Linked DNA regions of Lonchura striata. Each later gene encodes a partner of the first gene's protein in a complex. Links are inferred from orthologs where the notes say so. Each region holds a gene or a part of one and is shown on either strand. Other genes may lie near its edges. The genes, in order: PIGQ and DPM2.

Evidence for each region.
Region 2: PIGQ (region 1) and DPM2 share a complex: the UniProt entries of both Homo sapiens proteins name them as parts of the glycosylphosphatidylinositol-N-acetylglucosaminyltransferase (GPI-GnT) complex. The link is inferred for Lonchura striata from reciprocal best matches to the Homo sapiens genes PIGQ and DPM2.

The regions. Positions count from the first base shown.
Region 1 is NC_134618.1:2,696,190-2,712,475, forward strand, and holds the start of PIGQ (phosphatidylinositol N-acetylglucosaminyltransferase subunit Q), read right to left. Parts: upstream 6,563-16,286; 5' UTR 6,474-6,562; intron 6,368-6,473; exon of another isoform or gene 6,363-6,367; intron 3,119-6,362; 5' UTR 3,093-3,118; coding exon 2,428-3,092; intron 1-2,427. UniProt on the Homo sapiens protein: Part of the glycosylphosphatidylinositol-N-acetylglucosaminyltransferase (GPI-GnT) complex that catalyzes the transfer of N-acetylglucosamine from UDP-N-acetylglucosamine to phosphatidylinositol and participates in the first step of GPI biosynthesis.
Region 2 is NC_134624.1:737,801-753,603, forward strand, and holds DPM2 (dolichol phosphate-mannose biosynthesis regulatory protein), read right to left. Parts: upstream 4,145-15,803; 5' UTR 4,079-4,144; coding exon 4,076-4,078; intron 3,698-4,075; coding exon 3,608-3,697; intron 2,547-3,607; coding exon 2,444-2,546; intron 2,159-2,443; coding exon 2,100-2,158; 3' UTR 1,313-2,099; downstream 1-1,312. Other genes in the region: EEIG1 (early estrogen-induced gene 1 protein), read right to left, coding at 10,375-10,420, 11,279-11,348, 12,442-12,563, 12,752-12,941, 13,190-13,294, 14,428-14,579. UniProt on the Homo sapiens protein: Regulates the biosynthesis of dolichol phosphate-mannose. Regulatory subunit of the dolichol-phosphate mannose (DPM) synthase complex; essential for the ER localization and stable expression of DPM1.

The DNA.
Region 1 (16,286 bases):
ACCAGATGAAAAGCAATCTTTCCGAATCTGGATCACATGCAAATATTAAGGTCCATTAACCAAAACTCCTCCGTGTGCTAGAAACTGCAGGAGCAGTGCCTCCTTTTGGATGAGGAATTGGAGGTGCTTACAAACAGATTTTTTTTTAAACAAGCACATGGAATTTTTTGCCTTAAAACTAAAACATCCGAATGTCCTCAATTGCAGAGATCTTCAGGGATAATGGAATGCTGCCCCCATGTTCCTCTGAAGCAGAATCGCAATGGCCATCCCTTAGCACACGGTGGTGCTGAAGAAATGCCTTAATTCAGGATGTGCAGGACTTGGGAACACGGGATGAGCTTGGAGGGATGGCAGCGACTCCCTGAGATTTCCAACACTGCTGCCCTGCTTCTCTCATGCAAATACACAAACACAACAGGGGCATATCCAAAAATGCCCAAGCCTCCCCAGCCTGAGAAGACATTGCTGATTTCTTTCTTTAGCCTTCCAAAGCTGACTATCCCTTAACATCACAAAAAACAGAAAGAAAGAAGTCCTGTGACCTGAAGGAGAAATAAAACCCCTGTGAATCTTATTTTATGGAATGTCCTGTCCCAACATGGGAAGGAAGGGACTGGAAGGACACCTGCACATGACGTCTTGAACCCTCCCTGCCTCGAACATGTTGACATCAAGGAGGTTGTACTAAACATCATGTGGTACAAAATGGAACCAAATTCCTTGAAAGAACTTAGAAGGTCAAGAAGGAGACTTGTAATAAAGCCAGGTACTCTGTTATCCAAGACTGATGTTTTAAAACACATATGAGACAAGTAAATATAAAGTTGATACTGTGGGTGAGTAAAACAAAGGAGAGAGAAAGCTCTGCCTCCCAAGGCTAAGGACAGGCTCAGTGTAGGTTTATGCACAGCAAGCCTTGCATTCTGCCTGCTGCCAGGTACACCTGGCTGCTGCTCTACCTCAAAACATGTATCCTGGCCCTAGGAAAAGCTGAAGTCAGAATTCCTGAGAAGCTTGGTAGCAACTATCTGGGCCCAACCCACCAGCTGAGCTTGAGCTCCCAACTTATGTTTAGACTGCAGACTGTGACTGGATGCCAGCAAGGCCTGGGCTTAACCTAACTCCAAGCCTGGCCTGAATCCTGGCACCAATTGAGGTGGGACCAAGTGAGACCAAGTGCCTGTGCAGAAAAGGATCATCCTGTCTGATGGTGGTGGCACACAGACAGAAAAAGGACCCTTGGAGCTGATTCCAAATCTTCTGCCCAACCACAAAGTTGTGACTTAACTACCATTCATTAAGAACCACTAATACACAGTACCTACAGAGCAGTCCCAGGACACAGGGGTCCTTGATGATATCAGGTTTGAATCTCAATCTCTTCCAATAATCCAAAACTGGACATTTTTTCCTTTGTGTACCACACTGTGTAACCAAACTGCTCAGAAAATCTTTGCATGGGAAGAGTTTCACTGTAATTCTTTTACAACTGTATCACACAATTGGAAATCTGTTAAATACCTCCATTCCTTTAGGTTGTACTTAAAAAGATTTATCCATTAATACAGTAACAGCTGTTATCAAAATTTCATCAATTACAGTGTCCCCTTGCAGCTTAGAACCAGAACTCCACTCTCTGTCACAACCTCTCCAGGCAGCTGCAGTGGTGGAATCACCATCCCTGCAAGTATTCAAAAAACATGTGGCACTTGGAAACATGGGTTAGTGGTGGTATTGGCAGTGCTGGGTTAATGGTTGGACTCGATGATCTTAGAGGGCCTTTTCAAGGTAAATGATTCCATGATTATAAGTTTCTTCCCAGCAAATCTGCTCAGAACTAGCTTTCAGTCCAAGCATTTGCCACGTGTTACATTTGGAGCATCTATCCAGGCTCACAGTTGTGAGAACAGGATTTCACCATAGATTCAGGCTGAGCAGCAATACCTCTAAACTTCTGTAAAGTGCCAAGGCTGCAGCACCACAGTCTCTTGGAGAGAGGATGGATTTAGAAACAGTATTTGCTGATGTTCCACAGTTGCAAAGGGACTTACAGCAAATGGGGAGGAGGGAGTCCCCAGCTATGGAGCCATTAAAGAGAGCCTCATGTCAGCCACAGAAAAGCTGGAAATCCACTGTTTCAGCTGTGATGAAACTGAAGCAGAGCTGAACTATCCCTGCTGCAAATGAGGAGGACATGAATGCCTCCCCAGAAAACCTCCCAGCTCCATGAAGAGTTCTGAGGGAGCCTTTGGCCTTGTGATTTCCTGCTGGAGTGGAGCTCTAACAGAACCTCTTGCAGCAGCCTGTTTCCAATAGAACAATTTTGTATCACATTTCTCACTGGGGTTGAGCAGTAGTCCTGCAATGCCTAAACGGGAATTACATTTCCAGACAAAACAAGCTGGGTGATGTCATATCACCTACCTGCTCCTGCAGATCCCAGAGAGCAGTGAAAGCAGGAATGTCAGCAGCATGCAGGCAGGCACCGAGGCCTGCTTCAGCAGCTCCACAATGATACTGGCCTCCACCCCATCCGACTGCCAGTGGGTCAGCTTGATGGGTCCCTCGTCGTACCTGTCTGTCATGAAGAGGACCTGGCTCCTGGCCACCGTGTCAAAGATGGCCGAGAGCTTTGAGGCATCTTCTGCCCTCTGGCCAGCTGTGTCCAAAGGGGGGTGCAGATGGGAAAGCATCACCTTGCGCTGGTCATAGTATACCAAGATGATTTCTTCCTCCTGAGGGTTCTTAGAGTGTTTCTGAAGGATAGAACAGCTCCAGAATTTGCTGTCTCCCTCTTTGCTTATCTGGATCCATGGCTCATGGCAGAATATGGTCCCAAGGTCTTCCAAGAACTCACTGAGACTCTCTTCTTTCTCCTGTTTGCTATTGCTCCATGAGCCAAGCACAGAAACACTGACTTTAGTCATGCGCTGAACTTCCCCAAGGTACTGCTTCACCTGGACAGGAATAAAGGGGAAGTGTACCACAGCAAGGATGACAGCAGAGTTCTGCTCGGAGATCCAGCGGCCGATCAAAATGCCGCTGTCTGCTGAGGAGCAGCACGATGGAAAGAACACCTTCAGTACCATGGCAGTGACCCTGCAGGGACATACACCTGCCAATAAACACAAAAATTAAACTTGAGGATGGTGAGTAAACATAAGGAAAATCTGAGCCGGCCAAAGCCACCAGAGAGGAGAACTAAGCGTGTTTGAAAACACAAAGCCCAACCACTTGAGTAATGACATTAGTGACAGCCAACACACATACACACATTCAGGAAGCTCCTAATGATCTGCAGTCTTTGAAGTGAGGGAAGGTGAGCCTGGAGTTTCCCAGTAAAGCCCTTCTTCCAGTCCCGGAAAGGTCTTTCATGGTGGTATCCAGATAAGCACAGCCCATCAGACCAGCCAAGATCTGGCATTCACCTAGCCTAAGATCTTGAATCCCATGCTGGATGTGCTGGAGCACCTCCTAGAGAAGGGACTACATCATAGCTCACTGTGGTGCCTCTGGGGAGTATTTCCTGCTGCTATCAACAATCAAACACCAGTTCATGCTATTCGGTCTCCTTTACCACCTTACAACCCAGATCTCTGCAGCAAACTCACAGAGCCACCTTGATCCCATCACTCAGCTCCTCCTGCCTCACTCCTCTTATCAGGAAACTGAGACAAAAATTTTGTCAGAAGAGACTATAGTGATTAATTGAAGTAGTTTTAATTCATTAGATTCAACAGCCTAAAAGATGAGAACTTTATCAGCGCTCTTTATCCTTAGTGCTTTTCTCCCCATCATTAAGAACACATCTCAGTGGCCTTGGGAGACTTTTCCAGAAAGGAGCTTTGAGGCAGTTGACAGTGTCTCTTTAAATAAGGTGGAGGTTTCTAACAGGAATATAATTGCAGTAAGGAGGGCGCTGGCGCAGAACAGGCAGCATCCGGCGCCCGCTGTCCTTTCCTGTCCTTTCCCGTCCTTCAGCGCTTTGTTAGGGATGTGAAACTCCACAGGGCCCCGAGGCTGCTCCTCTGCAAGGGACCAGTCAGTTGGAAAGGGAACACAGAGGGTATTTACAACACAGAGAGACCATGCGCAGAGGGAAGGGCCTGGTGGCTTTTTCCTCTCCCTTAGGAGAGGACAGCTGAGCCAGTAAAGCTCAGCGCCTGGGAACTTCCTACTCGGAGGGATGGAGGAGCAGTTATAGGGAGTGATTAACCTCTGGGGTTAATCACCCACAGTGGGGTAATCTGGGGAGTTGTGGACTCCCCATCCCTGGCAGTGTCCAAGGCCAGGTTGGATGGGGCTTGGAGCAACCTGGGACAGTGGAAGGTCCCTGCCCATGGCAGGAATGGGACTAAATGGTCTGTAAGGTCCTTTCTATGTCAAACCATTCTATGATCTATGGCTCTTCTGAGATCCTGCTTCCTCACAGACTCCAGGTCTCTGAGGTTATCCCTCTGGTCACAGAGGGAAAATTAAGTCCCTCTGTGGCCTCTAGATCTTGCTGGGGGTTGGAGGATCTCTGGAGCAGTGAGGGCCAATGCTGGGTGCATTCAGAACCTGTAAACACTGTGCTTCCAGCACCATACTGCCAACAAATTCCTCAGGAGAGGGAAGTCTTGGGATGTACTTTGCAGTTTTGCAGTAAAAGGGAAAATTCAGTCCAAGGAAAAATATCAAAGACAGTCCCATGATGTTTTTCCCATCGAAACAAAGAGAGTTGTTGTGAGTATTGCTACAAGAGACTCTCAGTGTCTATGCATGACTGTCCTTAAAGGTCTGTCCATCCACTGGACATTTTAGAAAGGAACTGTCAACTGACTCTTCATACACACACTTATTTTTCACTGAGATTGTTTTTAAAGATAGCCACAATCCTCTGGGAAAACTTCTCATGGAGCAGAAACACTTGACATCCTTATCTTCTCTAGTTTGTGCGTTTTTCCTCTTACACCTTCCCCAGCTTCTAAAATTAACATAGTTTTGTGCACCCAACTACTCTGGCTATAGCTTGGGTCAAATGATCTGCCCTTTGGCTGCTTGAGGCATGGCAGAGAAGATTCTGATATGACTTTCAGGCTGCACAAAATATCTTGATAGTTGAAAACCTGGCTGATCAACTATTGTTATGTTAATGTTCTCATATTCCCAAATCCATGACTTGTCATGCATCTACCTCATTCATTTCAATAGACTGAAATGTCAAATGTCATCACAGTCTGCTTCACTGCTGCTAATTTTAACAGAAAAATCTTACCAATGCTCATGCAGTCCCTCTTCATCAAGTGCCTAAAATCTTTGAGATCCACCTATTTCTTGTGAAAACATCCACCTTTCCTTGAGAGCACCAATGCAATGACCTCAGGTAACCAAAACAAACAAAATAAACACCACCTAAAATGTGTTAATACAACCAACAAATGAATACAGGGCCCTAAGACTGATGGATTCCAGAGTTTTTGTTAGAAAAGCGAAGGTGAATGGTGGGATGTGTCCATGGTTTCACCCCAGAGAGTGTCCTGTGGCCAAGGGGTGCCAAGGGGGACAGATCCCATAGCAGACCCACACCTGAGCATCCCATGATCCTTGCAGGGGGGTTAGGGCCAGGATATAAAGAATCATAGAACCGTGGAATTGTAAAGGTTGAAAAGCCCTCTATGACCACCAAGTCCAGTCAGTCATTCCCCAGCACCACCACCACCACTAAACCATGCCCTCAAGTGCCACATGCACACGGCTTTTTGAACACTTCCAGGCCAGGCATTCCATGAGCCTGTGACAGTGCCTGAGCATGCTTTACGCGAAGAAATTTCCCCATCTATTCTATCTATATATAAATTAAACCTCTCCTGGCACAACTTAAAGCCATTTCCCCTGGGAGCAGAGACCATAGCATGGCCTCAGAGATGGCAGCAGGGAGTTGTGCAGAGCCACAGGGTCCCCCTGAGCCTCCTTTTCCCCAGGCTGAGACCCCCAGCTCCCTCAGCCCCTCCTGGTGCTCCAGCCCCTTCCTCAGCTCTGTTCCCTTCCCTGGACACGCTCCAGCCGCTCAGTATCGTGAGGGGCCCGGTGCTGACCCGGCCCGGCGGGGGCTCCCGGTGCCCGCGCAGGCTCCGCGCGCGGCCCAGCCCGGCCCGCCCGCTCCTGCCACCCGCTCCTACCGCCCGCCCGTTCCTGCCGCCCGCTCCCGCCGCCCGCCCGCTCCCACCGCCCGCCCCGCTCCCGCCGCCCGCCCCTGCCGCCCGCCCGCTCCTACCGCCGCCCGCCCGCTCCCGCCGCCCGTTCCTACCGCCCGCCCCTGCCGCCCGCTCCCGCCGCCCGCCCCGCTCCCGCCGCCCGTTCCTACCGCCCGCTCCTACCGCCGCCCCGCTCCTACCGCCGCCCCGCTCCTCCCGCCGCCCGCCCCGCTCCCGCCGCCCGTTCCTGCCGCCCGCTCCCGCCGCCCGCTCCTACCGCCCGCCCGCTCCTACCGCCGCCCCGCTCCCGCCGCCCGCTCCGCTCCGCCGCTTCCGCCCGCGGTTGCCCGGAGACGCCGCTGCCGCCGGGTCGTGCAGCCGGACGGGCCCGGCCGGCACCGCCACCCGCCGCCCGCGTTCCGTGGTGCCGCGGCTCCCCGCTCCCGGCCTGTCGGGCCCCGCCGGCCCCGCTCCCGCCGGCGCCGCTCCCCGGGCTCCACCCGGCGCCTTCCCGCGGGCCCGAGGGCGGCGGGGCCGCCTGAGCCGCGCGATAAGGAGCGGTAGTGCCCCCCTGCCCTGCCACCGCCCCAGCTGGAGCGGGGCCAGGGCCCCGCTGTGCTCACGGGATGCTGCTGGCCCCATCCCCACAGGCCAGGGGCTCACCTGTGCTCACAGGACTCCGCTGTCCTCTGTTCCCAAAATCGAGCGGCCCCGCTGTTCTCACAGGACCCTGCTGTCGCTCATCCCACAGGCCAGGCACCTTTCCATGTGGGACCCCGTTGTTCCTCATCCCCAAAGTCCAAGGACTCACTGTTCCTCAGGGAACCCCGTTGTCCCCCATCCCACTGGTGAGGGACTCGGCTGTGCTGATGGGACCCTCTTGACCCCCATCTTGACTGCCTCAGTGGATGTCTGGCCCAGCAGAGACCCATGGGTGCCCACGGGTGCCCAAGAACTTTGTCCTGTGATCCGGCCGTGGGCTTGGGCCAGTGAGCCTGGGAAGATGCTAGGCAGCATGAAGAGGTCCCACATGGAAAGAGAGAGCAGGTGCAGAAGTCGGGGTGGGCTACATAAAAGATTTTGGGGTTTAGTTTTATTGTTGGATGCCACAGAATTGGAAATAAGATAGGGGAGATTAAGTCTTGTGGGAGGGAGCTCAGCTTCCTGCAATGGGAGAGGCTGATCCCCCTGTTTCTGCAGACCATGCAGCCCCAGTCCCTGCTGCTTGCCTCACGCTGCGGGGAGAGGGGTTCTGGAGAACCTCACAGGGTGTCTGTTGTGTCCAGTGCCTGTTCCAGAGCCAGGAGGGAGCAAGGCCCTCTCCAGGGATCATTTGGGATCAGAGACGGTGACTTGGGTGTGGGACACCATTAGAGACAGAGAAGTCATTAAGCTCCGTGCCCACACCGAGGGCTGGAGCAGGGAGAGGAAAACGCCCATCCCTGTGCCGGCACACCCTGCCCACCTTCCCCTGGCCCTTGCTGATAAAGGCAGCAAGACGTGCTGAGCCCTCCTCTCCAGAGGACAACAGGATGGTGTCTGCCCCAGGATGTGAGGTAGTCTGAGGAGTTCCACGATTCCATATGGAATTTACTCCGTGTAGTGGTTGTTGCTTCCCTGTAGAGGTCAGGAATGCAGCACAGAAGGAGTTACCTTCATCTTACCCTTTTCCTGACGTCTGCTGCAGACCCAGTGTGCTGTTCTCTGATTGCAAAACCCACCCTAATAGCCTGGGAATGAATTAGGACAGACCAGTTGGCTCAATCATGCCAGGCTGGACAGGGCTTGGAGAAGCATGATCTAGTGAAAGGTGTCCCTAGTCATGGCAGGGTGTAGATCTAGGTGATCTTTAAGGACGCAATCCCAACCATTGTGTGATTCCATGATTCTGTGAGCGAGCATGGACTTCTAGCATGGCCTTGCCTCTCTGGTCATGGTCTGGCATCAGGAAGATGGGACCATGGCACATCAAAATCACATGGAGAGAGGAGAAATATTTATATCAGCTTTGGAAAACACTCAAGGAACCAAGGATGTTGTGATAACAAGTTTGCCAAGGCACCAGTGCAAGGCCAACTCTTGAGTTGCTGGGTCATCCTTTACACACTCTGGTGGGTCCAGAGCTGGTCTAGTCCTAGAGAAGCTGGGGGCCTTTAGGCAGTCAGGTCTGGGGCAATGTCCCATCCCTAGAAATGTCCAAGGCCAGGTTGGATAGGGTTTGAAGCAACCTGGTATAGTGGAAGGTGTCCCTGCCATGAAATGGTCTTTACAGTCCCTCCCAACCCAAACCATTCCATGATTCCATTACAGGAATCTTTGAGAGCAGTGGAGCTCTCAGCACCCCAGCAGATGCACAGCTCAGTGGGGCTGCAGGGAAACCATCCCCCCTCCCCACCTGTGTGTTTGGTTGGGGTCAGCACGTGATGTCCCAGCATTGGTGGGTCTGTACCGGGGTCTCACACAGTACTTAAAGACTTTGACACAGTTCTCCACTGTGTCTGCCACAAAGAGGTGCCCAGAGGAGGAGCAAGCCATGCCAGCAGGCCTCCGCAGCCCCGTGGACACCAGGCAGATGGGAGCTCCATGCTCTGGGAATAAGTGGACTGTACGGCGCTGCTCGTCTGCCACCAGGATGCTGCCATCCGTATCCACGCAGACCCCAGCAGGGTTGCCAAACTGGTGTCCATATTTGCTGCTGAGAGAGCAGAGGAGCTTACAGCTGCTCATGAAGACCTTGACATCTCCACACTCTTCACTCACCACAAAGCCTCCACCGGGCACTGGACTGATGTAGCGAGGTCCCTGCAGATTTGGGACAGAGTGCACATTGAGTGTCCTGAAGGTATGGTCCAGAGCAAAGCTGTGCACTTGACCTTGTGCATAATCTGCTATCAGGATCTTGCCCATGGAATCTACTCCAATACCCCTGGGGGAGCCAACCTTCCTGACCTTTATCCATTCCCTCTTGGAGAGGTTGGTGTAAGGGTTGAAGACCCAGATGGCTTCATTCACCATGTCAGCTACAGCCACCATTCCCATCCTAGTCACAGTCACATCTTCCGGCAAGAAAATGCTGCCTCCCTTGCCTGATTGTTGGCAGGGCAAGGACTGCAGTGTGTGGCCTGTGCTGCTGAGCACGTGGACCCAGGGAGCACTCTCAGCTGTCACGTAGATGGAGCCATCCAGGGAGCAATGGATTCCACTGACACCCCCGTAGCGGCTGCCGGTGGGGTTGGGAATCTGCCGGACCAAGTCATCCTGGCAATAGTGGAGGAGGTTCTTGATGTTGTCCAGATCTCTGCACAGGCTTTTGGCCTTATCTGCCAGCTGGTGGACCTGGTGCTGGGTCACCATGCCCATGCCACTCTGGCTGTGCAGCACTGGGCTGGCTGACTGCAGTGTGGTAAATGACTTCACCTGGAGGCTGTAGATTGTTTTCAGAAGCTTCTGCTTTAGCTGGCTGGTCTCCAGCGTGTAGTCCATGACAAATCTCTTGTCCCTGTTTGGGGGAAGCAGTTAGGACCATGACTGTCCCTGCCTGCTGCCATCTCTGAGGCCATGCTATGGTGCTTGCTATCTACCCAGGGTCAAGGTGTTGGTGCTATTCTGGATTCACTTCATGCCAGAGAGACCACGTCACTTTATTGCCAGCTAATTATAAAATAAAGACAAACAAGGACCATGGCATAGAAATTAAAGGGTCAGCAAACTGGACCTACACCTGGAGGAACAACCCAAAAAGGTCCAACAGCTCCAACAGCTCAACTGGTGTCAGATATGGCCTGAAGATTTATGTGTAAAGGTGAGCCCTGTGTGTGAACTTATTGAATGGGACCTCAGACTCCCCAGTTCCTGAGATAATGACTTCTTTCAGGTCTTTAACACTTGTTACCCCTATTTTGTGTGAGCCTCATCTCTCCAAACCAAGCTCAATCCATGATAACACTTGAGTCACTCAGGGTGATCATTCCCCGACTCCCACATGTCAGATGTCAAACGTGGCCAGGGCATGTCTTTGCTCCAGGCAGCCCCTTTCCCATCCAAATAGCTTCACAGAATCACAGAATATCCTCAGTGGGAAGGGACACGTCAGGATCATCCAGTCCAGCTCCTGGCCCTGCACAGACACACCAACAATCCCACCCTGGGCATCCCTGAGATCATTGTCCAAACTCTCCTGGAGCTCTGGCAGCCTTGGGGCGGTGCCCATTCCCTGGGGAGCCTGTGCAGTGCCCAGCATTCTGGAGGAAGAACCTGAAGGAAGAACCTCCTGCTTCTGGAGACACAAGGCGTAACCAGCGTGTTATGGAGGAAGAACCTTTCCTGATATCCAGCCTAAACCTCTCCTGACACAGCTCCAACCATTCCCTGGGTCCTGTCCCTGTCACAGAGAGCAGAGATTAGTACCTGCTGATCAAGTAATTTCTGAAGTAGCCAACAACTTTTCAGGAAGAAAAGGGGAGATTCTGCTCTGAAACATGCATTCAATCTTCACCATTTTTTTCAGACAAGAGAACCCAAATTTTTCTTTTGCACACTTTTCCTCAGTCTTAAAACTAGGCAGTGATGGAAGCCCAGCTTTGCTATGTTATCCCCAGGCATGGCTGGAGCATGGCTTACAGCACACAGCCAGGAGCTGACAAGTGAAATGTTAAGAGACATATGACCTCATTAAAGCTCCTGGAGAGGCATAGTTTTACTTTGCTTTAAATGTGATTATAATTAAAATTATAATGGCACACTTGACTGTTTTGAGTTGTTTGCAAGCCATCACTCCACTTTTATTACCCCACGTCCTATGATTGCCGGGATCATGTGCCTTATGCTGCTTACAAAAGTGGCATTTCCCCAGACCACAGCTGAAGAAAGCTAGGGCGTACGGTGACCAATGGTCCTTCTCATGTGCAAATACTTCAACTATCTAAAAGCCATCCCTGAATAATTGCAGAGTTACCAAATGCAAATACGCAATGGCAGGGATGAGAGAATACAGATGGAAATCCAATTCTGCTGTCTTGGAGCCTGGGAACAGCTTTTTCTACCCTGTGCTGGTTATGCCAGCAGCAGAGATCTGCTTGGTGGAAACAAGCCCTCCATATCACAGGACTGCTTGTCAGGGTCCTCCTTCAGAGCTGGACAAAGTCCTCAATCCAAGAAGCTGGATTTTACAGATGGGGAAACTGAGTCACTGCTGGGGAGATGATGTGCCATCTGCCACACACCCCTCCTCAGGAGCATCCACCTCTCTTCCTGGGCACTGGACACCCAAAGCTGCCATCAGACCCTTGATGGTGTGTCCTGAGCCTAGTTTGAGCTACTTTGGGGTCCAAACCCAAGAAGAGGGCTCTGACACTGTCCCCTATACAGCTCAGGCCAACCACCTGTGGATACAAGCTTAGCAGCACAGATCCTGTACCTTAGTCCTGCTGTCCTGGGGGCTGCCTGTCCTTCCCTGGCAGTGCTGGCCTCCCACCAGCTCTGTCCTGCTCCCTCGCTGGGCTCAGGGCAGCGGGACCAAGGGATTTTGTGTTGTTAGTGACGGGCAATTGCCCTGAAGTCTGGGTAAACACAAGAACTCCTTGTGCTGACAACCAGAAGCAGCAAGACAAGGGCTGTTCCACGTGGCTTTTCTGCCTGCTGGTCTCCTGCCCAGAGACAAGGTGCCTTTCTCCCAGGATCAGTCTGTGTCCCACCTGCCTGCTCCTGCCAGAGGGAGGTACCCAGCTGCCCGGGGGATTTGGGGCTTTTATGTAGAGGCAAAAGGGCTGATTTGCTGCTCCTCACCCTTGGCAGCTGCTGGGGTGGGATAGGGATGCTCACAAGGTGAATCAGGGCTCCTCATGGCTTCACCACTGCCTCCATGGGGACAGTGCCGCTGTGTGCCTCAGTTTCCCAAATTACAAAAAAGAGACTGGTGAATTTTGCCATCTCAGGCTTTGAGGGGCAGTGATGGAGAAGCATCTCTAGAAGAGGCAGATCAGCCAGGACTGCTGGAACAGCCCCCTTTTCCCATCTCCACACTGCTCAACCCAGGCTTTCCACAACTGCACACAACCATGCTTGGAGTTGATGGTGGTATTAGTTCTGCCCCAACAAAGAGGGTCAGGAGTAAAAGCAGAGTTAGCAAGGAGCAGCCTACAAGGGGCTGCTCAGAGCCTGCCCTCCCTCCCTGGCAGTGATTCCTGAGAGTGCTTTCTGAGAGTCCCCTCCCCACCTTTGCCCACAGTGAGATCAAACACCCACCTTAAACTCGGCCAAGTCGTGAAGAAGTTTGTGTCTGTTCATTATTCAGACGGGCTAAACGTGAGTGAAGTTTTGGTCAGACTCAGCCACGTTTTGGGATGCTTGGAGGAGCTGCATGGGCCTCCCTGAGGACTAAGGAAGCAGGTTGGGTCTGTCTGGTTGCAGGAGTTGTGAGATGGGGATCTGCCTCCAAAGTCTCAGGGCTGGGTGCTCTTCTCAGCAGGTGTTTAGGGCCCTTCTGGTCCTGGATCAATTTACCCCTGAAGCTCACACTGCCTGCCTCAGACCTATTACCAGCCAAAATTACAAAACTAACTTGACATGACAAGCGCTGGGGCCGCTCCATCTGAGCCCCAGCAGGACGGGAGGCAGCTTCAAAAACCATCTCCCAGGGCAACAGGGTCTGACCTTTTGTTTTGCTGTTGTGTGCTCCATCACCAGGATAAACAAACACAGCCTGGCCCTGGGGCTCCCGTTCACCTTTCCAGGACCGGGTTCTGTCACAACTAGTTCAGAAGCCACCCCGGACCCCAGGAGAGGTCTGTGTCATGGCAGAGCCCTGGCACAGCCCTTGCCCATGCCAGCACTGGGAGCTGCAGGAGTCAAGGACATGGGCATGGTCAGCCTGCTGCTGCCAGAGACGGACCAAGGGAAAGAGAGGTCGTGTTCAGTTCAGGTTTTCCTGGAGCACATTCCTTGCAGGTATAAGTGCCAAACTTCACCTCTCGTGGCTTTTCCTCCCCTGGTGCAGGGGCAGCAGCTCTTGGTTGTGTGTCCACAAGGAACACACAAGCCCTGGCTCCCTGCCAGTCCCTGTGCCCAGGGAGACAGGCACGGTGCCTGTTTGGCACACTACAAGTGTGCAGGGAGCCAACGGGATATCCCACAGGACTAGTCAAGGTCATTGCTACCAAGTCACAGATTTGTGGGAAAATAACCCAAACCCATCCACTGAGAATATTTCCCCACCTAGAGCACAGCCCTGTGACTGGTGAGAGTGTGGGGGGACTTGAAAGTCCACAGTGTCAGTCCAGTGTCACTTGTGGAGAAAGCAAAACCTCCCTGCTGGACACCAGAGCCCTCCAGCCCTGAGGATGCCAGCAGTCCCCAGCCTGCTCCACACCCTGTCAGCACAGGAAGGTTGCGGCCGGGGGCTGTGGAGGTTTGCTGGGACTGAAGTTTTGAAGGGACGATGAGGGAGCGGGCTGGACACGGGCTGGACACGGGCTGGTCATTGCTTTGTGCGGACACCAGGCGGCCCCGGCTGTCCGAACAGCCGGACTGATGGCACGGCTCATCCAGCAGCGGGAGCGCACCCTCTGTGTCCGTGTGTGTGCAAGGCAAAGCCGGATCCCAGCACTGTGCAAGGCAAAGCCGGATCCCAGCACTGTGCAAGAGGTTCCCGTGGGAAGCTGGAGCATCTGCTGCACATCTAGACACAGAAAACACGATCCCCAGCCTGAGCAGAGCCTCTGTCCTGGCTGCACGCCCCGCACTGTTCACGGAATGCTTGCAGTGTCCAGATGGGAACATGCAGGGACTTGGGGACGCTGCGGGATACATCTCTTGGAATCTGATCCCTCACGTAGACTGAGACTGGGCTGGGGCTTCCTAAACTTGGTTCCATGGAGGTGAGAGCAAGAATTCAGCTCCTCTTCAGGCATCACAGAAATCCCTCCAAAAAAACAAAGAGCTGTAACTACTCTGGCCCCTAAAACTGACCTGGCCCTATCCTCTGACCAGCATGGACACCCCAGAATTGCTGCTGCTGGTTAGCTAACCAATGGAAAAGATTCCTCAGAGTCTGATAAAGGCTCAGCTGACACCTCAGCTTCTCCTTTCTCCCTCCTCCTCTGCAACCTCCCTTGCTCACAAGGCTCACAAAGAGGATTAGGGAGTTAATCCTCTTTGGGACATCAAGCTCCCTGTTAAGACTGCTGGGAAGGGCCAAAAGCTGTGAAGCACAGTGGGGCACTGCCACAAAACCCCGCTCATGCCAGGAGCAGCCCTGTGGATGAATCCCTGTCCTGGTGGCAGCCTCTGCATTGCTGCCACCCCCTTCTCCACCCAGCCAGAGCACAAGTCTGTCCCAGGGCCATGGGAGCTGGGTAGGTCCCAGGATGTCTCCCTCCACCCCATCCTGGCCTCTCCACCTGGTCTGAAAGGGTGGTGGGAGGAAAGAGAAACATCCTCCTGTACTGGCAAAGAATGGCATCCCAAAGCCATGCAGGAGATGGGAACCAAACAAAAGCTTTCTGCAAACACAGCTCCATGTTCAGCCCACTGAAGAGGGCTCTGGATGTCCAGGAGCCCTGTAGAATCCCAGGGACATGGTTATTACTGAAGCAAAGCGATGTGCTGGAAGCATTTCCTTATGGATGATACCGAGCCAATTGGTCTTCCATGAGGGATTGCTCCGGCTCTTCCTCTGGAGAGGAAGGCTGCAGGCTGGCATTGCTGGTGTGTCACAGGCTTGTGGCCATTGTCAACAGGTGAGCAAGGAAGCACTTGCACTTCCACTTTCTGTTCCCACTTTCCACCCAAACCACAAACCATAAACATCCTTGGGTACCCTGCACCTAGAATCAGGGAGGAAATAACAGTGGCTGAGTGCTTTTACTCCCTGAGCCCTGGATGTGGGAAAATGATGTGTGTGTTTTGGTTTTGCAGCAGCCGCTGCCTGGGATGGGGAATCCAGGGCTGCCCAGACACAGCACCCAGCTGTGCAGGTGCTCCTGGGTCTTCAGGAAGCTTCTGCCTTGCAGGAATGTTTGCTCCTTCTCTCTCAACCATTTGACCCTCAGCATCTTCTCCTGCATTGCAGCAGCTGTGGGGAACATTGGCACCACTTGGCATCTCCTGTGCTGCCCCAGTCGCAGCAGGCACGGGCCCCTTCCAGGCAGGGAAGTGGGTAGGGAGGCAGGAGCTGATCAAACAGCAGCAGCAGCAGCCAGGATCTCACCCTGCCTTAGCCTGCAAAGCCTGAGGGAAACCTTCTCTCTGCTCAGCTTGACTGCCTTTGGAAGCATTGGCCCTGGTGAGAGCCAGAGCACTGCTCTCACCCACCCCAGCTCTTTTAAGTACTTAAACCCTCACTGCTTCCCCCCATGGGCCTTTGATCCAGCTCCAAAGCTAGAAAGGTTCTGCCCTGGGCAAATACCCAGGGAAACAATCCATTCCCATTTGGAAGCATCTAGAGCAGAGAAAGGAAACCTCCAATTACAACAACAGATGGGAAAACCAAGCAGGGAAATTTTGTAGCCTTTTCTGCTGTTTTTCCTCATGTAAAGCTGAGGAGGTGGGATAGCTACTCCCCCATACTGGTTACATGCTATGGGGGCATGGAGAACAGGGCTGCTGCCAGAGCAGATCTGGAGCTGCACTCTCAGGGACTGCTCTGTACTTCACTTTGTGGCTGATGGGGGTTGAAGAGTTCATGTGGGTCCTTAAATACACCAGCAGTGCAGCAGTGCTCCCGTGAGAGCCAGAGGACAGTCACCAGGGCACAGCAAGGTGGCTTGAGGCACAGATGCCACCACAGTGGTTATGGTGGGGAGAGTGGTGAGGAACAGTAGTGCTGCTTCCACAAACAGCTGGGAGCAGAGGATCCAAGATAAGCCACAGGCAATGTATAGAGTGATGCTTCTGGCTGCCTCTGCTCCTCTTCCTCCCACAGAGAAGCTCCCAGGAGGATCAGGAGGACTTGCTGTTCTTCCCCAAGAGCTGCAGTCTGGGTGAGAGCAGGCGGAGGCTGGGGCTGGGCTGTCCCTCTGATCTGCATTGCTCTGGCAGATCAGCCCCTGCCAGGTCTCAGCACATCTGTGCTGCTTCCCTGGTGTGCTACCAGCCCTGGGGGCAACATTT
Region 2 (15,803 bases), on another chromosome or scaffold:
GCCGGGCCGGGGCCGGGGCCGGGGCGTTCCCCCGGCGCGGCGTCCCCGGTTCCCGGTGCTGGCCCCACTCACCGAGCCGGGAGCCACCGGCGGGTCCCGCATCCCGCCCGGAGTGCGGCCGGTGGGCCGCGGCGGGGCGGAGCCGAGCGGGCACGGCCGGAACCGGCACCGGGACCGCCCCCGGCCGCCCGCCCCGCCCCGCGACCCCGCTTCCCCGGGAGCGCGCCCGCCCGCGGGCTCGTGCCCGCGCACCGGGACCGGCCCCGCGCCCAGCTCCTGTGTCCCGGTACCGATCCCCGCCTCTCTCCCTGCCCTGTGCCTCGGGAGCGACCCCACGGCTCCTTCCCCCTCTGGCTCTGCCCTCTCAGGCTCCCTCAGCTCTGCAGCCCCCCTGTCCCCTCCGGGCAGCAGCAGCTCCCGATGAGCCCAGGGACACCGCGAGGGTCCCGAACGGCTCAGGACCGGGACCAGGGCAGGGGACACCCTGGCACCCCAGACCCCATCCAATGGCCCCAGGGGCTGCCCCCATCACCTGCAGCCCGTCCTGCCAGGGCCAAGCCGGAGCACCCATGGGAAGTGTCCCCAGAGCGAGCTGCCCGCTGGCCCGGGGCAGGGGGGGCACTGGATTTCTCCCACTGGAGATTAAGAAACATGAGATGTAACCTTGAAACCAATCCCCCACACTGTCCCGAACAGGCCTGAAAACGGAGAGGAAATGACAGGGACACCACTGGGCTCCTGCACAGGAAGCAAGGCTGGAGGGGGCGGTCACACCGGCAGCTGCTCAGTCACCACTGAATTCTTCCACCCTCTGATTCCTTCTGCCCCAGCCCAGAACCACCCTTGTAGGGTGGGCTGAGCCCCGGCCAGCAGGTGAGCAGCAGGGAATTTGACAGCTCAGCATGTCCTGGCAGCCTCTGCAAGAGCTGGAAACAAACCTGCAGCCAGAGCCTCACCTCTGGACCCTCTGCTGGCTCCTGCAGCCAGGCTCAGCTGTGGCCCTCGGGGTGTTCTCAAGCCACCAGCATCACCCCAGGCAGGATGGGAGGCTGTGGGGCATGCTGCTGGCAGGAAATTCACAGTACATGCATGAAGGGTTAGAGTGCCCTAAATCTGCCCTCCCCAGGCAGGGTACAGCATCCCCAAGAATGGCAGAGGCAGCACAAAGTCTGGCCAGGTTGTCTCTGGTGCTTCCCTGCCTGACCTCACCAGCAGGACCTTTTCAGCAGGATGTCATGCACTGCCCAGGCCATGCAGCTGAACCCACCCTGGCAGGCTTGTGGCACCCTGTGGCATGGGCAGAGGACAGGGAGCGAGACTTACAGACGTTTATTGAGGGTGATGCTGCTTGCTGTGCTCCAGGGGAGCTGCCAGGGCAGCAGCTGCTGCCAGGAGAGGAAAAACCCCGGGGACAGGACACTGCCTCCACACCTGCCTGCTCAGCCCCAGCCTGGCTGGCACATGGAGCCTCGTCCAGGGCAGGAATCCAGCCAGGACTGAGAGCTGTGATGGGAACCACACCCAGCACTTCCCTGTGATCCAGGACAATTCCTCGCCACCCCCTCAGCTGGGTGGGACATGGGGCAGCACTGTCCCTGCTCCCTCTGCATACCCAGCCTCATGGGAGTCCCTCTTCAGAAGGGCAAGAGCCCCCAGCACTGTGATTAGTCTTTCCAGAAGCAAATGGAGAAGGAAAACCTGTCCTTAGCAAGCCCAAAGTCTCATTTCTCTCCTTTCATACTAGAATGAAAAAAATCCCACAAACTGTAGGTAAACTTTTAAATAAAATTCCCAGAAGGAACAACTACTGGGCTGAGCCAGAGCTGAGGGGAAGGAGTGCCCAGAGTGGGCAGGGCAGCCCCAGCTGGGGAGCAGGTCCCTCAGCAGGGGCTCTGGTCCCTCGCTTGATGAGCCTTGGATGAATCCTGCTTCTCTTTGGTCAGTGAATTGTAAACTACAGGTTTAGTCTCTGCAGGAGGGAACGTGGGAGCAGCTCAGTGCTGGGCACCTTGGAGATGTCTGCCTGGAGCTGCAGGAAAAGTCTTTTCCTGGCTATGATGCTGCAGCGTGGGCACCTCTTCATCTCCTCAGCCAGGCCTTCAGTCTGATTTCTTGGCATGTTTCCTGCTCTTCCACATGACAAACATTATAAAAACACCTGCCAAGAGAGAGAGAACCAATTGAGGTAGGAAACTTAATTCCAGGCCCTTCTACAACACCTGGCAATGAGAAACGGAATCTCAGCAGAGAGAGAAAGACAATTCTGCTGTCCAGAGGCTCAAACAGCCAAAAATCACAAGCAGCCCCAAGTCCCTGTGCCAGGCGAAGCTGCAACAGTAACCACAGAGAGTGTAAGTGTCACACGTTAGCTAAACCAGTAGCAACCCTCTTCTCTCTTCCTAATTTAGAAGTTTCTAATTAGAACCACAGCAATAACTCTCACCTATAAATAGCAGCAGCAGGAGCCCGGCTGCCACAGGGATGATAACTGCATATTCCCGAGGCAGGAAATACTGGTGGATCCCATGGTCACTGTCGATGAAGGGCTGCAGGGACACAGAGGGGTGTCAACAGGTGGGCACAACACCTCGAGTGCAGCCTCGAGGTTTTGGGAGAAACATGGAAATACCTGCTGTGAGATGGCTAAAAAAGGGTGCCCAGAGCTGCAGGTGGCTCAGCCACAGAGACAAAATGAAGGTTTTGGTGTTCAGTGGATAATGGGGGGGGGGCTATGGGGCTGGCACAGGGTCCCACAGCCCCGGGGGCTCGGGGTGGGCAGAGCTGCTGGTGCACAATACAGCAAATCCCTCTGTCCCTGCAGAAAGGAGCAGCTGCCACCGGCTCTGCTCCGTGGTTATCCCAGCAGGATCGCCCTGCAGAGGCCAGTGGAAGGCTCTGGACGCTAGGGAGCACTGTGAGGATTCCCAACAGCAGCCAATGCTCCTGCAGCTCTGGGAATGCCGGGAGCACAGATATGGACGGGGCAGCAGAGCGAGCAGATACAAAAGGGGAATTCAAATCGCTTGGAGTTGGAGGGGAAGCTGCTGGGAGTTCAGACTGAACCTGGCCTCTCACACCTGGAAAGCTCATGGGGAGAAGGTTCTTTCCAGGGAGAAAATCACTAATGACCTCAGCTGATGTGTCTCCAGAACTGGGCAGCCTCACAATCACTTTCCCAGAGCCCTGCATTCCCTAAACTCTTCTCTTCCCTTACACATTTGGTAAGATTTGTCTCTTTCTATGTTTTCCTCTGTCATCTCCCACCAGAACCAGGAATCTGGGGGATGCAAATGTGAACATTGATGACTACACCTCCATCAGGGCCAGGCTTCAGCTCTTCCCAATGGCTCATCCAGCCCTGGCTCATCAGCCCATCTTGGAACAGCAGGTGGGCACCACGATCAATGTTTGGTGCTGCCCAGGCAAGGCCAGGAACACCCAGATGGGATAAGGACAGTGCCAGCGCACAGAGGAAGACCTGCCCTGAAATTTTTAACCCAAAGGCAAGAGCCCTTCGGGCACACAGACACATCATCACCTGAACAAAGGCCGGGGAAACACTTGAGTATGGCGTGACTGGGATTACATTGGCCAGAGGAAGCCGTACCAGTACGATGATCCAGAGGGTGTAGTAAACGAAGAGGACGAGGCTGAAGGCGACCAAGCCGAACCCAACCAGCTGGTCCGTCGCTGTGGCCTGCAAAGGGAGAGGCAGCGCGGGATCCCCGGCAGCGCCTGTGCCGGAGCGCCTCAGGGCACCTGCGGCTGCTGCCGCGACCGGGCAAAGGGGCAGGGCACCGCGGGGAGGAGACCGCGGCGGATGCGCCAGCGCGGGCGGCCGTGCCGTGCCGTGCCGGGCCGGGCCGGGCCGCGGGAGCTCCCCCGGCCAGGTAACACCGCACCCCAAGGGCCGCTCCCGGGAGGCGGCCGGGCCGCTCTCTCCGCAGAGGCGGGAGCCTCGCGAGGGCTCCGGGCCGCGGTTCAGCCCAAGCCCCCGGTGCCGAGCAGGGACCGACGGACCCAGCCTGCCCCCCTCCCTCCCTCCCGCGCCGCTCCGGGCCGGGCCCGCACTCACCATGGCGCCGCCGCCGCCGCCCGCCGGCCCCGCCTTTCCGGCGCGGCCACCAATCAGCGAGCGGCCCGCCAACCCCGCCCCGGGAGCGGCCAATCGGCAGCGGCGGTGGGCGGGGCGCGCGCGAGGCCCCGCCCCCAGCCCCGTCACCTCCCGGAGCCGCGAAACGCTCGGAGAGAGCGGCGGGAACGGGGCGGGAACGGAGCGGGAACGGAGCAGAGAGAGCGGCGGGAACGGGGCGGGAACGGAGCGGGAACGGAGCAGAGAGAGCGGCGGGAACGGGCCGGGCCGGGTTCGGGCGCGGGCCCGGCCCGCTCAGCGCGGAGAGCAGCGCCGCTGCCGTCCGTATCTCTCCCGCAGGGCTGCGGTCCTTGCCCCGCTCGGCGCTCCTGTGCTCCAGTGCCGCTGCCTTTCCGTGCGAGCGCCGTTCTCTGGTTGCATCGCGCACCTGTGCCCGGCCCCTGTGGTGGGGATGGATCCCGACACCGGCTCTAGTCCCCGGGACACTGACGTCCCACGCCCCAGCCGTGCCTCCAAACGCACCCGGGGGCAGCGGGAGGAAAGGAACAAGCTGAACCAAACAGCCAAGGGACAGGCACAAACGACAGAATCATAGAATTGGCTGCCTCCCCTTCCTGAAACAAGGGAAAAGGGAAGACCATGCTTGGGACTCAGAGGTGCACTGACCTTTGTGTGGCCAAAGCTCTGGGAAGGTGGAAAAGGCAAAGGCTGCTTCCTCTCAGGGCTCCTGTTCCCCTCGAGCCCTGTCAGCCATCAGCATTGGGTGTCTGGGCACTGATTGTGCCTCCCTCTCCATTAAGGAGGTGGTGAGCCTGTGCTGGCCGAGGGGCTACTCAGGCATGAGATATTTATTCCTTGGAGCCCTGCTGGGCTGTGGGTCCAATCCCCCAGGCAAGCCTGGTGAGGTAGGCCCAGTAGGAGAGGCAGTTTAGGCAGAGCCCAGGCTGGGACAGAACACAGGACACTGCTGCCAACTCAGGCAGGTGTCCCCTTTTCCCTGGATTGCTGCTTCCATGGGACTGGTGCTGTGCTGCCAGCTGCCCTCCATCTCCAGGGAAGGGCTGGCAGGGATCTCTGCTCCCTGCTGCCAGAGCAAGCCGAGAAAGCAAAGCCAAACTGTTCTAGGTCCGAGCAAGCCCTTCTCACCCCACAGCATTTAAAACAAGAAACAGAGCAAGAAGAATCAGTGTGAAGTACCAAAAAACCTTTATTTTTCCCCCAAACCATAACAACATTTGACATTATACTGATTTCCTCATATATGTTATTTCTCTACATTAGGAACCAGATACAGAAAATACAAACACGATCTGTTGAATCAAAGACGGCACAGCATTCCGTTAGAAAAAGAAACAAAAAAACTAGAGGAGCAAGATAGAAATGGTGAAAAATAGTCATTCCCTCCAGCCCAAACTTTCCAAGAATCATCATCAAAATAGAGCAGTGGAAGTAGCTTCTCTTTCTAAACGCACTTCTGCTTTAAGACAAAAGTTAGATTTATCTTTAGATTTTGAAAGTAAAAAAAAGTTAAACTATCTTTCAAGCAATTTTGGAAGTTTGCATAGACCCATTCCCTTTCCAAAAATATCAGCCATCTCTCTATAGAATCTGATACAAATCGAGTGCGCCTCAGCCAAAGGTCACCAAGCTCAATTCACTTTCAAGAAAATAAAACATGATCTCCCCTTCCCCTCCCTCCCCCCACAAAAATATGGGCTCTACTGTTATTCCACGTGTTTGAGGCAAGTTACCAGGCTCAGCCACATCCCTTGCTCAGAGCTTCACCCCAATTCCTTTTCCTTTCCCATTCATTTCCTGGGGTTTCCACGCTCGCTGCCTCCCGGCGGGGCAGCGGGATGGGAGGGCGCAGGGAGGGGGCTGATGGACACAGCTCTCAGGAGGGAATTTTGCTTCCATCAATCCCTCCCCGCAGCGAGGAAGTGGCTTTTCAAGGACAAACACCTGCGACCAGGCAGAGTTTGTAGGAACTTGTCCCTGGGGACCGGCCTTGTCCAAAGGGCTCGGTCACCAGAGCAAGAACTCGGCTAGAGACCAGGTGGGGCAGCAGGGAGGGGCAGGGGGGTGGAGGGGGTCTGCAGCCCCCGGGTAAGGCAGCGAGGAGGGGAGGGGGAGCCCCTCACCAGGAGGGGTTTAACTGTGGTGCTCTAGCGTACCTGGAGTGAGGTTTTCCCAGAGGTTCCCAGCAGCAGTGCAGAGACCAGCTGCACTGCCACCTGCTTAAAAAGAAACAGCAACGACAAAATAAATAAAAAGTCAACCCCTCCTATTTAGATGAGAATGAAATACTATTTCTTCGGGCCTCCACCTGGTTTGGAACCCTCTAAAAACTGAAGCAAACGTTTAAAAGGGCTTGTTAACCTTTCTGCAGGGGGCAAAGTGATGTGGCAACAAGGGGGGGAGAAATCACACGCCTGCTGCCCATCACTCCAAGGGTCAGAACAGCACGAGGCCCCCATTTAAAGTGCTGACCATACAAAAGATGATGATGAGGGAGCAACATCCTTCTCCTCCCTTTTCCCATCACAATTTCCAACTGAAATCCACCTCCTTCACCAAGTAACAACTAAGCCTATTCTTCTGGACACTCAGTTTTATATTGGTTTTAAAAAAAGAAAAGAAGTTAGTAAAAAAGTTACACTGAATTTCCTAACGCTTTGCAATGTGCTTCCACCAACTAAAGGTTGAGAAACCAGAAGCAGAGCCCACATGTTTTGCCTGATCCTGAGATTGAAGCAGAGAGCCAGCTCTGCTCTCCAGGGCCAGCCAGGCGTGAGCAGCCCTGCTCGTCAGCATCAGAGACCCAGGGGATGCAGAGTCTTGCCAATAAGGTCCTTTTGCTTGTTTAAGCCACCTCTGAATCCCCTGAGGAGGGGAACAATGTGGGGAAGAACATTCCCCTCTAAGCCCCCCTGAAATAAAATATCAATGAAACAATTAATGCAGTCAAAAAAAAACCAGCCTGCTGGATTTGTATAAAAAAAAATTCCATAAACTTCACAACAAAAAAGAAAAACCCAAAGGAAACTAGCCAGCGGTTTGGGTCTGGAGACTGATTCACTTCTTAAATGTTCTAAGTCCAACAAGGAACAGGCAGCAATGATGCCACAAGGAAAAAAGTGCTCGTGAGATGCAGCTTCCTGAGGCAGCAGGGAGTGTGTAGGACCAGTGACCCCACAGCCACCACCTCAGGTGCCCATGGCTGCCTGGGGACTGCTGGGCACTGCTTGTGCTGGATGCACAGCAGGAGCTCTGCATGGGATCTACAAATAGGAACAGACTGCTCCTTCCTCCCTCCATGTCTGCTCCAGGTCCCCCAGCTGTGCTGCACAAGGCTGGATGACTAGGACTACTTACTCACTCAAAACCAGGGGCAGGAGAGCTAAAAAGCCACACAAAGACCAGAATCTGTGGAGGGACTAACGTGGAGACAAGGAAGAAATACCCTATGAGACACAGTTATCAGAAATGCAAGTAGTGATGTGCCAAGCCACTGGAAGAGAAGCCAAAGACGTGCCCAGGTTGGCCACAGTGATGTGTTGGAGCAGGTTGTGCCTCTGCCAACCTGGGAAGAAGAGACCAGTGCTCTCAAAAGCTCAACTGCTTCTCCTCTTGCTTTGCTGGGAAGATATTCCTCCCTCTGTCCCACTGATTTCGTGACGTGCCGAGCTGCCAGTGCCTCAGAGCAGCCAACTCTTGCTAATGGAGGCCAGAAGAAGGCCCTGGGATCCCAACTGCTCTGACAGTGACTGCCATTGTTTCTCATGGGAACAGAGGCAAAGCAGCAAAATGAGCTGGGTTACAGCCTCTTTCCTGGCTTATGCTTGCTCCTTTCAAGTCTTGGTTGGATCTGATTTCCCGAGGACCTTTGTTGGCCCCTGGGGAGCAGCCAGAGCCTTGGCTCTGCACGGCCATCCACAGAGAGGGCAGAGCAGCCACTGCTGTCCGAGCCTCCTCTGCCCTCGCCCTGACCTGAGCAGACGGTCAGGCCAGGCCTGGCTGCCTGGCACTGCCCCAGGGAGAGAGAAAGACAAGCAGTTCTCTCCTTCCTGCAGACATGTGGCACCCCAGGAACAGGGCAGGATGCTCAGCAGCCTGCAAGTGAGTGCCAAACCTACCCAGGCTGAATGAAGAAGAGATCACCATTAAAAAAAACCTAGCAAGTGTGAAAGAGCTTTTGTTCTTGACAGTCTCAAAAAATCCAACACTTTTTTCCTACATTAAACCAAACCAAGGTGTTGTCTGCATCCCCTTTTTACCCTAATTCAAATTTAATTCCCTTTGAAGGGAAAGGGTGGAAAAGATGCATATCCTATATGTGGTCTGTCCAAACACAGAAAGAAACCTCTTGACTCAAAGAGAGAAACCATCAAAACAGAGTAAGCAACTGTATAGTTTTACCACACTGCTGAGCACCCTCCCCATGCAGCATCCTTAGCTAGAAGGGTAAAAAAAAAAAAAAAAAAAAAAGCTGAATCAAGGCCCTTTCATTCCTTGTTTCTCATTCTGTCAGATTCCCTTTTCCAGTAGCTCATCTGCATGCATTCTGGCCAAAGAGACCACAGTTAATGCTTTTTTTTTCCCCCTCCTTTAAAAGAGGCTTTACAATAACTAAGAATTTGAACAATGTGATCAGTTACAAGTCACTCCTTGCTGAACAGAACGAGTGTGTGCCTGTACACACACACACAAGTGCCAGAGGGGAGCCAGGTCCTGAGTGTGGAACTGCTCCGAGGGCACGGCTGCCGAGTGCTACCACAGAACACTGGCAAAAGAGGAATGGGCACTACACAGAAATAGCTTATCAGCTCAGGGGCTCTGTACAGGGAGGGCTGCAAGCACAGCCTGCTGCTGGCCCACAGCTGGGGGCTGCCCAGATCCTCGCTGGCAGGAGAAATCTCCAAGTGGGAGCTGAAAGGGATCGACATCGCTGCCACACACTGCAAGGAAAAGTGTCAAACAACTGCAGAAACCAAACCCAAAGAAGAGCAATTGAAAGATCAAACACAGAACAGTTTGAAGCCTTGTCAGAAGAGTTCACTCACCACAGAGCAGGTCAGAACAGCTGCTGTGGCTAATGCAGCAGCAAACACCCCTTCTACCCTTGAAGGCAGAGACAGTAGCTTCTCCCCAGCCCCAGAAGGAACTAGCACAGACACAGATCTCTGCTGACAAGACAAAAAAGCCAACACCAAATCCCTTACTAGCCCAGGTCAAGAGAGGCAATTGACATCACCACCACAATAGAGAGACCACTGCAGTCAACTGCATCCAGCTCTGGCTTAGCAAAGGGTTGTCAGATGAGATTCTTTTCACAGTCCAAGAAGGGCAGTTCCCTTCCTGAGCCAATGAAACAAGGGGAAAAAAAAAAAGAAAAAAAAGGAAAGAGGCTTTATATTCCAAGCTCCAACAGGACTATTTGCTGAATCAGTCCAGCAAACACAGATTATACTCCTGGAATAGTGAGTAGAAGCCTCCTCCAGGTAAAATCTACAACCTCTAAAGTGCTCCTGCTCATTCTAGTTGATGAACACCCCCTTCCATGCCCAGCAGTGGAAGGGCTGCTGCAGTCAGTGGTGTGACGAGCACTCACATTTAACCGTTCACTAACTCCCAGCTGGATTGCGGTAGAGTTTTCTGAAATGCACTTTTGGGAAGTATTTCCTATGAGAAGATGTTGTTTGGGGATGTGAGGATAGGAAGGTGAAGTGTACACCACAGCATACCTTGTTCAGTAAAACCATTGCCTTGGGAGGTGATGTTCCCTTGCAGAGTCAATGGAATAAAGCATCCTGCAAGTGGCCATGTCACCATGTCCCCAACAAGCAGCTCTCGGTTTGGTTAGAATGGTTTCCCCCACCCCCAGTGGTTTGAAGAGTTCACAGTGGTATAACCCAATGCTTTGGGGAGACAGAAACTGAGAAGTCCCCTGCTGCAAGTGAATGGGTGGAATGAGGGATGCAGATGAGCAACATCCTCTGGGACTAGCCCAAGGATAAGTCCCACAGACAGCTTGTGTCTGAGCAGGAACAGGGGGAAGGCATGCACTGGAACGACCAGGAAGCAGAGAAGGACAATGCCAATGCAGGGAAAGTGCATGTTCTGGAGTGGTCTCGGAGTACTTCTGCAGTGCAAACATACGGGGAGGGGCATGGAGAAATCCCTTCTGGAATGCTGCATGAAGAGAGGTAAAGGTTGGCATCCATGTGGCAGCGGACTGGGTAGGGGGCCTGTGTCCAGCAGCTCTACCCTGTTCTTCACATTTAGTGGGTTTCAATCACCACTGGCTCGTAAACTCCAGATGAGACCCTGGGGAGGCAGAGGGGGAAAGGGGCCGGTTATTTTTCACAGTCATTTTAGCAACCAAGCTCTGATTCAGAGCTCTCCACTCAAACATCTTCTAAGCCCACTCAGCACTGCCAGTAATGAGCTAGCCTTGCAGGAAGTCAGTCCTTGGAATACTGAGGGGACAAAGAGGTGGCGAGTCAGCAAGAGAGCACAGGAGAGAGCTGGGTGTGACACAACAAAGGGGGAGTATCCTATCCAGAACAAAGCCAGTGTGCAGAGCTTTGCTGTGCTCCCAGTTTTGATACATCTTTGCATTACCATTACTGCTCCTTTTAATTGAACTGAACGATGCAGCAAAGCCTCAAACACAACTGGCCAAGAGCTGTACTAAGAGCTACAGTGGTAAGAAAAAGTTTTATTGCTTCAGAAGGCTTGAGAGAACAAGCCCTCGATGATTATGGAAGTGGCAGGGAGAAGGGACAGCAAGAGGCGGCAGGGAGAAGGGACATTTTTGATATTTTGGACTGCTCTGGTGCAGCTTTGCTGCAGGCCAGCAGGAGGCAAAGCTCCCTCCTTCTGGAACAAACGGGAAACAGCCTCTACCATTTTGTCCTTTAATTCCTCACTTCTAAAGGATTCTGTTCCCGGATCTAGCAACCAGGATCCCATTATCCCCCTGAGCTCCTGCTGAGCACAGCATTCATACTCTAGTGCAACTGCAGCCTGCCACCAAAGGGATCCCAGGGTTGTTAATGTGGGAATAAAGCCACCATATGTAGCACATGATGTCTCCTGTAGCAAAAAGTGGAAGTTTTCTAGGTACAGAGCCCACTCATCTCTCTGGAGCCCCTCTGTCTGCCAGCCTTTTGGGAAACCTACCTGTTTCCCAGCTGAATACCGCTCAGCGTGGTTGTTCCGTCTCTGCTCACAAACAACCTCAGGTTACTGTCTGCAGATAGAAGAGGAAGACAGACATCAAAATCCAGAACTACTGAGGCTGCCAGGAACTCCCCTCCCAGACACACCATCAGCATAGAACAAGTGTGTCTCAGCAGAGCACATCCACACTTTCTGGTGGTGTTCCCACAGTCATTGAGCCCCTGGGAACTCCTTCCCTTGCTCCAAAGGGGAGCCTCCACAACATGCAGCTTTGGACGAATAAAGGCAGAGATATTAATTCAGTCATACTGCCTCTTTTAAGGCAATTCCTCTTTTATCCAATTCCAAGTTCTTGGTCAGCTTATACACATCTGAACAGATAAGATGTGGGGTCTCACACTGCTTTGGTAGAGTCACTGGAGGAGAAACTCAGCCTGTTCTGCTGGTGAGAAGCAGCTGCATCCAGTCTAGTTCTAACCCACACTGAGTGAGGTATAACTCCCCACAGGGTAAGTGTGCTTCCATGTGCAACAATTTAAGGTGACTAATGGTAAATTAATGAAGCACAGATAACAAGCTAGGCTCAAGTTTAAAACTTAACAGAAAACCTCAGATAAAAAAAAAATCAGATTAAAGGTTAATTTATATGCTAAACTGGAAAATGAAACTGAAAACAAAAGCAGTTACATGTGACTGCAATGGAGGAAACCCCTTCTTAAGCTCTCCGACAGACCTGATCACCAGCACATGGTAACCCATGTTTCTGTGGAGATGTGCTGCTTCCCCTCCAGTTGTGCTCTCCTTGTTTGATAAATACCCTTGGCCTGACCCTGGATGAAGGCCACTAGAGCAGTGCAGACAGCTGATGCAACTGATCTCCACTGTGCTGAGAATCAGTATTTTTCCTCTCTCTCCCTGCATGTTTGAGCTACTATTCAATCTCTGCTGTCATGTGTGGAGCAGCAGCAAGTGCTATCTGTACATACATGTGCAGCTCACAAACTCACGTGGTTTATCAACCACAGAAACACCCAGCAAGCACTGAAAGCAAATAGCTGTCAAAAGGAGAAGGGAGCCCATGGCAGATCAGATCTGACTGTAAACGCTTGGCAGCCTTGCAAGAGGAACAACCCAGACATCCCCTCTGAGGCTTCTCCTCTCACCTTCAGTATTGCTGACATCTGTGAAGTCCTGACTCTGCATTATTTTCTCCACTATATCATCAGCATCGATCCTGGTGTCATCCACTCGGGTTGGGTGACTCTCCATTGAATCCTTTTTTCTCCTGGCAAGAGGAAATCCAGGAAAAACTTACTCAGCTTTTCAAGACACAGGCTTCTACATACTGTCCTGCTTTTCTTGGCCACAGTCTCCTCTGCAGTGGCCACGATCTGATCCACTGCTGCCTGAAGACAAAGGAGCAGGTTCTATCTCTCCTTCCCAGAGAAAGGTCTTTGCTCCACTGTTACTCACCGGGAGGGTCTGTCCAGCAGGAGGGGCGGTCTGGGGGGCCGAGGTGGCTTCTCCAGTTTGTGTTCCCTCTCCCCCTCAGGATACTCCACGGTCATGCTGAGTCCCCCCGAGGCACTGCTGCTGGTGGACGTGTTCCGGCGGTGGGTCAGGTCGGACATGCTGGAGGAGCGGGAGTGCTCCGTGCTGTAACCTGCCAACACAAGGATCACAAACCTCAGCTGCTGCTGCTCCCACTCCTGGCAGCACAGGTAACGGGCAGGGAGCTTCACAGCAGCACTTCTGCTCCTGCACACAGAGGGTTAAACATCTATGGGCTCATGTGCAGGGACTGAACAGGAGGCTGGTATTACAGAGCAGGCGAGAGAGATGGCTGAAAATCACTCTCACAGGGGTTGCAGGAAGGAAAAAGATGGCAGAGCTGTGTGGATCAGTGGTTACCAGAGATCTTGGACTGCTGGCTGGCATAGCTCGAGTTCCGCGAGTGCCCCGAGTGGAAAACTTCCTCTGGGCTGGACAGGTTCTGATCTGACTCTTCTGGGACACCTGCCAAGGAAAAGAGGACACTGTTTACACCATAACCAAGCCAGCACATGGTGCACTGATCAGCTGGGAGTGAAGACTGATCTTGGAATGACAGATCAAGGAAAGGACAGTCTACTGGCCAGAGCCCTGCTGTACAGGCCAGCACAGGGATTAGAAACACCCAGGGAGTAGAAAAGACCACAGTGAGCTCTGTCAAGTTTATCACTATTTCTATCCAGCACGTGAACTTACAAACATCTCTGGGGCCTGGTAGCATCTAGGAGGACAAGTAGAGTCTGAAACTATCCATAGGTAAAAGCATCAAACTAAGACCAAGTAAGCATCAGATGGCCATTGGCAGTAAAGTATTTCAGCCTCTGTTTGGGTGCTTCTGTTACCATCTTACCCTTCCTATTACTTGTGAGAGAGCCTGTACCACTTAAATAATCTCTGAATTTGATACCCACCCTTCAGCATAACCCCTGCTCCTTTGCTAGTCCTGCTTGTCTCTCTGGATAAGCAGGAAGCTTATCCAGAAGCACATAAATGGCATCAACGTAGCACATTAGCCAGCTTTTTAAGAACATCACTTGCACCACGTGCTCTGTCAACTGAGGGGATGAGACTCAAGTGCTATTTTGGTGCAGTGTATCTGCCTGCACATTTGGAATATGCTGGGAAGGACAAAAACTGATGTGAAAATGCAGTGCCCTTGAAAACAGGCTCATACAGCAGCCAAAGAACTGCATCAGCAGCTGGAACAAGGCCACTAGACCTTAAACCAACCTCTAAAACCTTCAGAGGAACTTCTCTAGAAGATAAGTCGGAGCAACAGAATAGCTGAGTGCAGAACAATGGCAAGTGTCATTGAACACAATGGAAAGCAGGGATGAGCAGTGCATGAATTATTAAATCCCCAGCAAAAAGAACAAATTATCCCCAGTAACAGAAATATGCATGTGGCAAATAGTCAACCTTCCTCTTCCCACTTAGATGGCTTGGTTACTCTCAATATTCTGAATGAGCCATGGGGTTGAGGATGGGTGTGGGAAAATATGCAAAATTAAAGTTTCTGTGCTTGCAACTGCTGGGAAAAACAAAGGAGTGTCCAGGCACAGCCACACATTGCATGGCTCCAGGCTGGGCATTCAGACCTGAGCTGAGAATGGCAGTTCTTGGCTTGGCCTGGCGCAGGGAGCCAATTGTGGAGGAGCTGCTGCTGCTGGTGGTTCCCTCGCCCTTGCAGGTCAGCTGCAGAGTAGAGTCCTGCCCCGGGATGGTGATGGATTTGGCAGTGGAAGGAGGCCTGGAATCAGAAGGGAAGGAGGTTACAGACTGCCAGGCAGGGAGCAGGCATCATTCTGTCCATCCCACCCTTCTCAGCAGGGGGAAGCTGGCAGCCCTCTGACCAGCAGCTCAAACGGGATGTTGGGTTTTGTTTTCCTACATGCAAGACTGGTGTCTTCCCTACCTTGGATTGCATTACAAGAAAAAGCAAGTTTTTGAGGTAAATTAAGGCAAAAAGAGGCCATTCATTCATTTACACAGGACAACAAGCTGAGAACTTGCACTGTCTTCCAGGACACCATCCAGAACTGCCCTTTCACCCCCAACACGTGTCCACTGGCCACCTGGCTTCACAAACAGGAACTAGTTTGCTGCTGTCCAGCTTCCTTTCTCCTACACCTCCTTGGCCAAAATTAAACCTTTTATCCCAGCAAACCTGTCCCCCTATGAGACCACTTTTACAGCAATCAAATAACCTTTCCCTTTTTTAACTGACTATTAAACTCCTTTTCAGTGAAACTGAAGTGTTTTTCCAGCTGTCAGAATTATTTTTCTGGTTATTCCGTGAGCCTGCAACATCCCTTTGTAAATGCTGACTGCAGGGCAGAACTGTGAGTGCCTGGAGCTCCCTCCCTTCCTCCAGAAGTGCTTTTGGGTGGAAGCCACAGCATGTGCAGCGTGGCAAAGTGAATATTCCTGTTGGAGCTCTAACCTCTCTGTAGCCTGAAGTCTGAACTGGAACTAAAGGATCATATTATGGATTTTAAGTGAGGAGTGAGAAAATATTTTGTCTCACTCAAAGCTCTGAGGGAAGATGTTACATGAGAGGGGATCTCTGCAGTATTTTGGAAGACAGAATATTTAATGTGGGCAGCTGAATGGCTATAAAGCTTTCAGGAAACTCACAGCATGCCTTCACCAGGAAAAAACCCTCCCTAATCACCTTATCATTGATTTGCATGCACCCAGGTGCTTTGGGGACTTTGCTTCACAGGTTTTTAAGGCTTTTACAACCTTAAGCAAGCAAACTGTTCCTGCAGCAGCTGTGGGAGCAGCCCTTTGGTCTGTCAGCTCAGCTGCTCTGCCCCTTCCAACTCCAGGAGGAGAAGGTTCATGGAGTGCTGCAAAAAAATCAGTGCTTGGAAGTGATTTCCCAGCACAGTTTAATTCCTGCCTAACCCTCTAATGAGTGTCATTTACCAGAAGCTCTACTGATCAAGGACTATTCCACATGCAAAGTTTC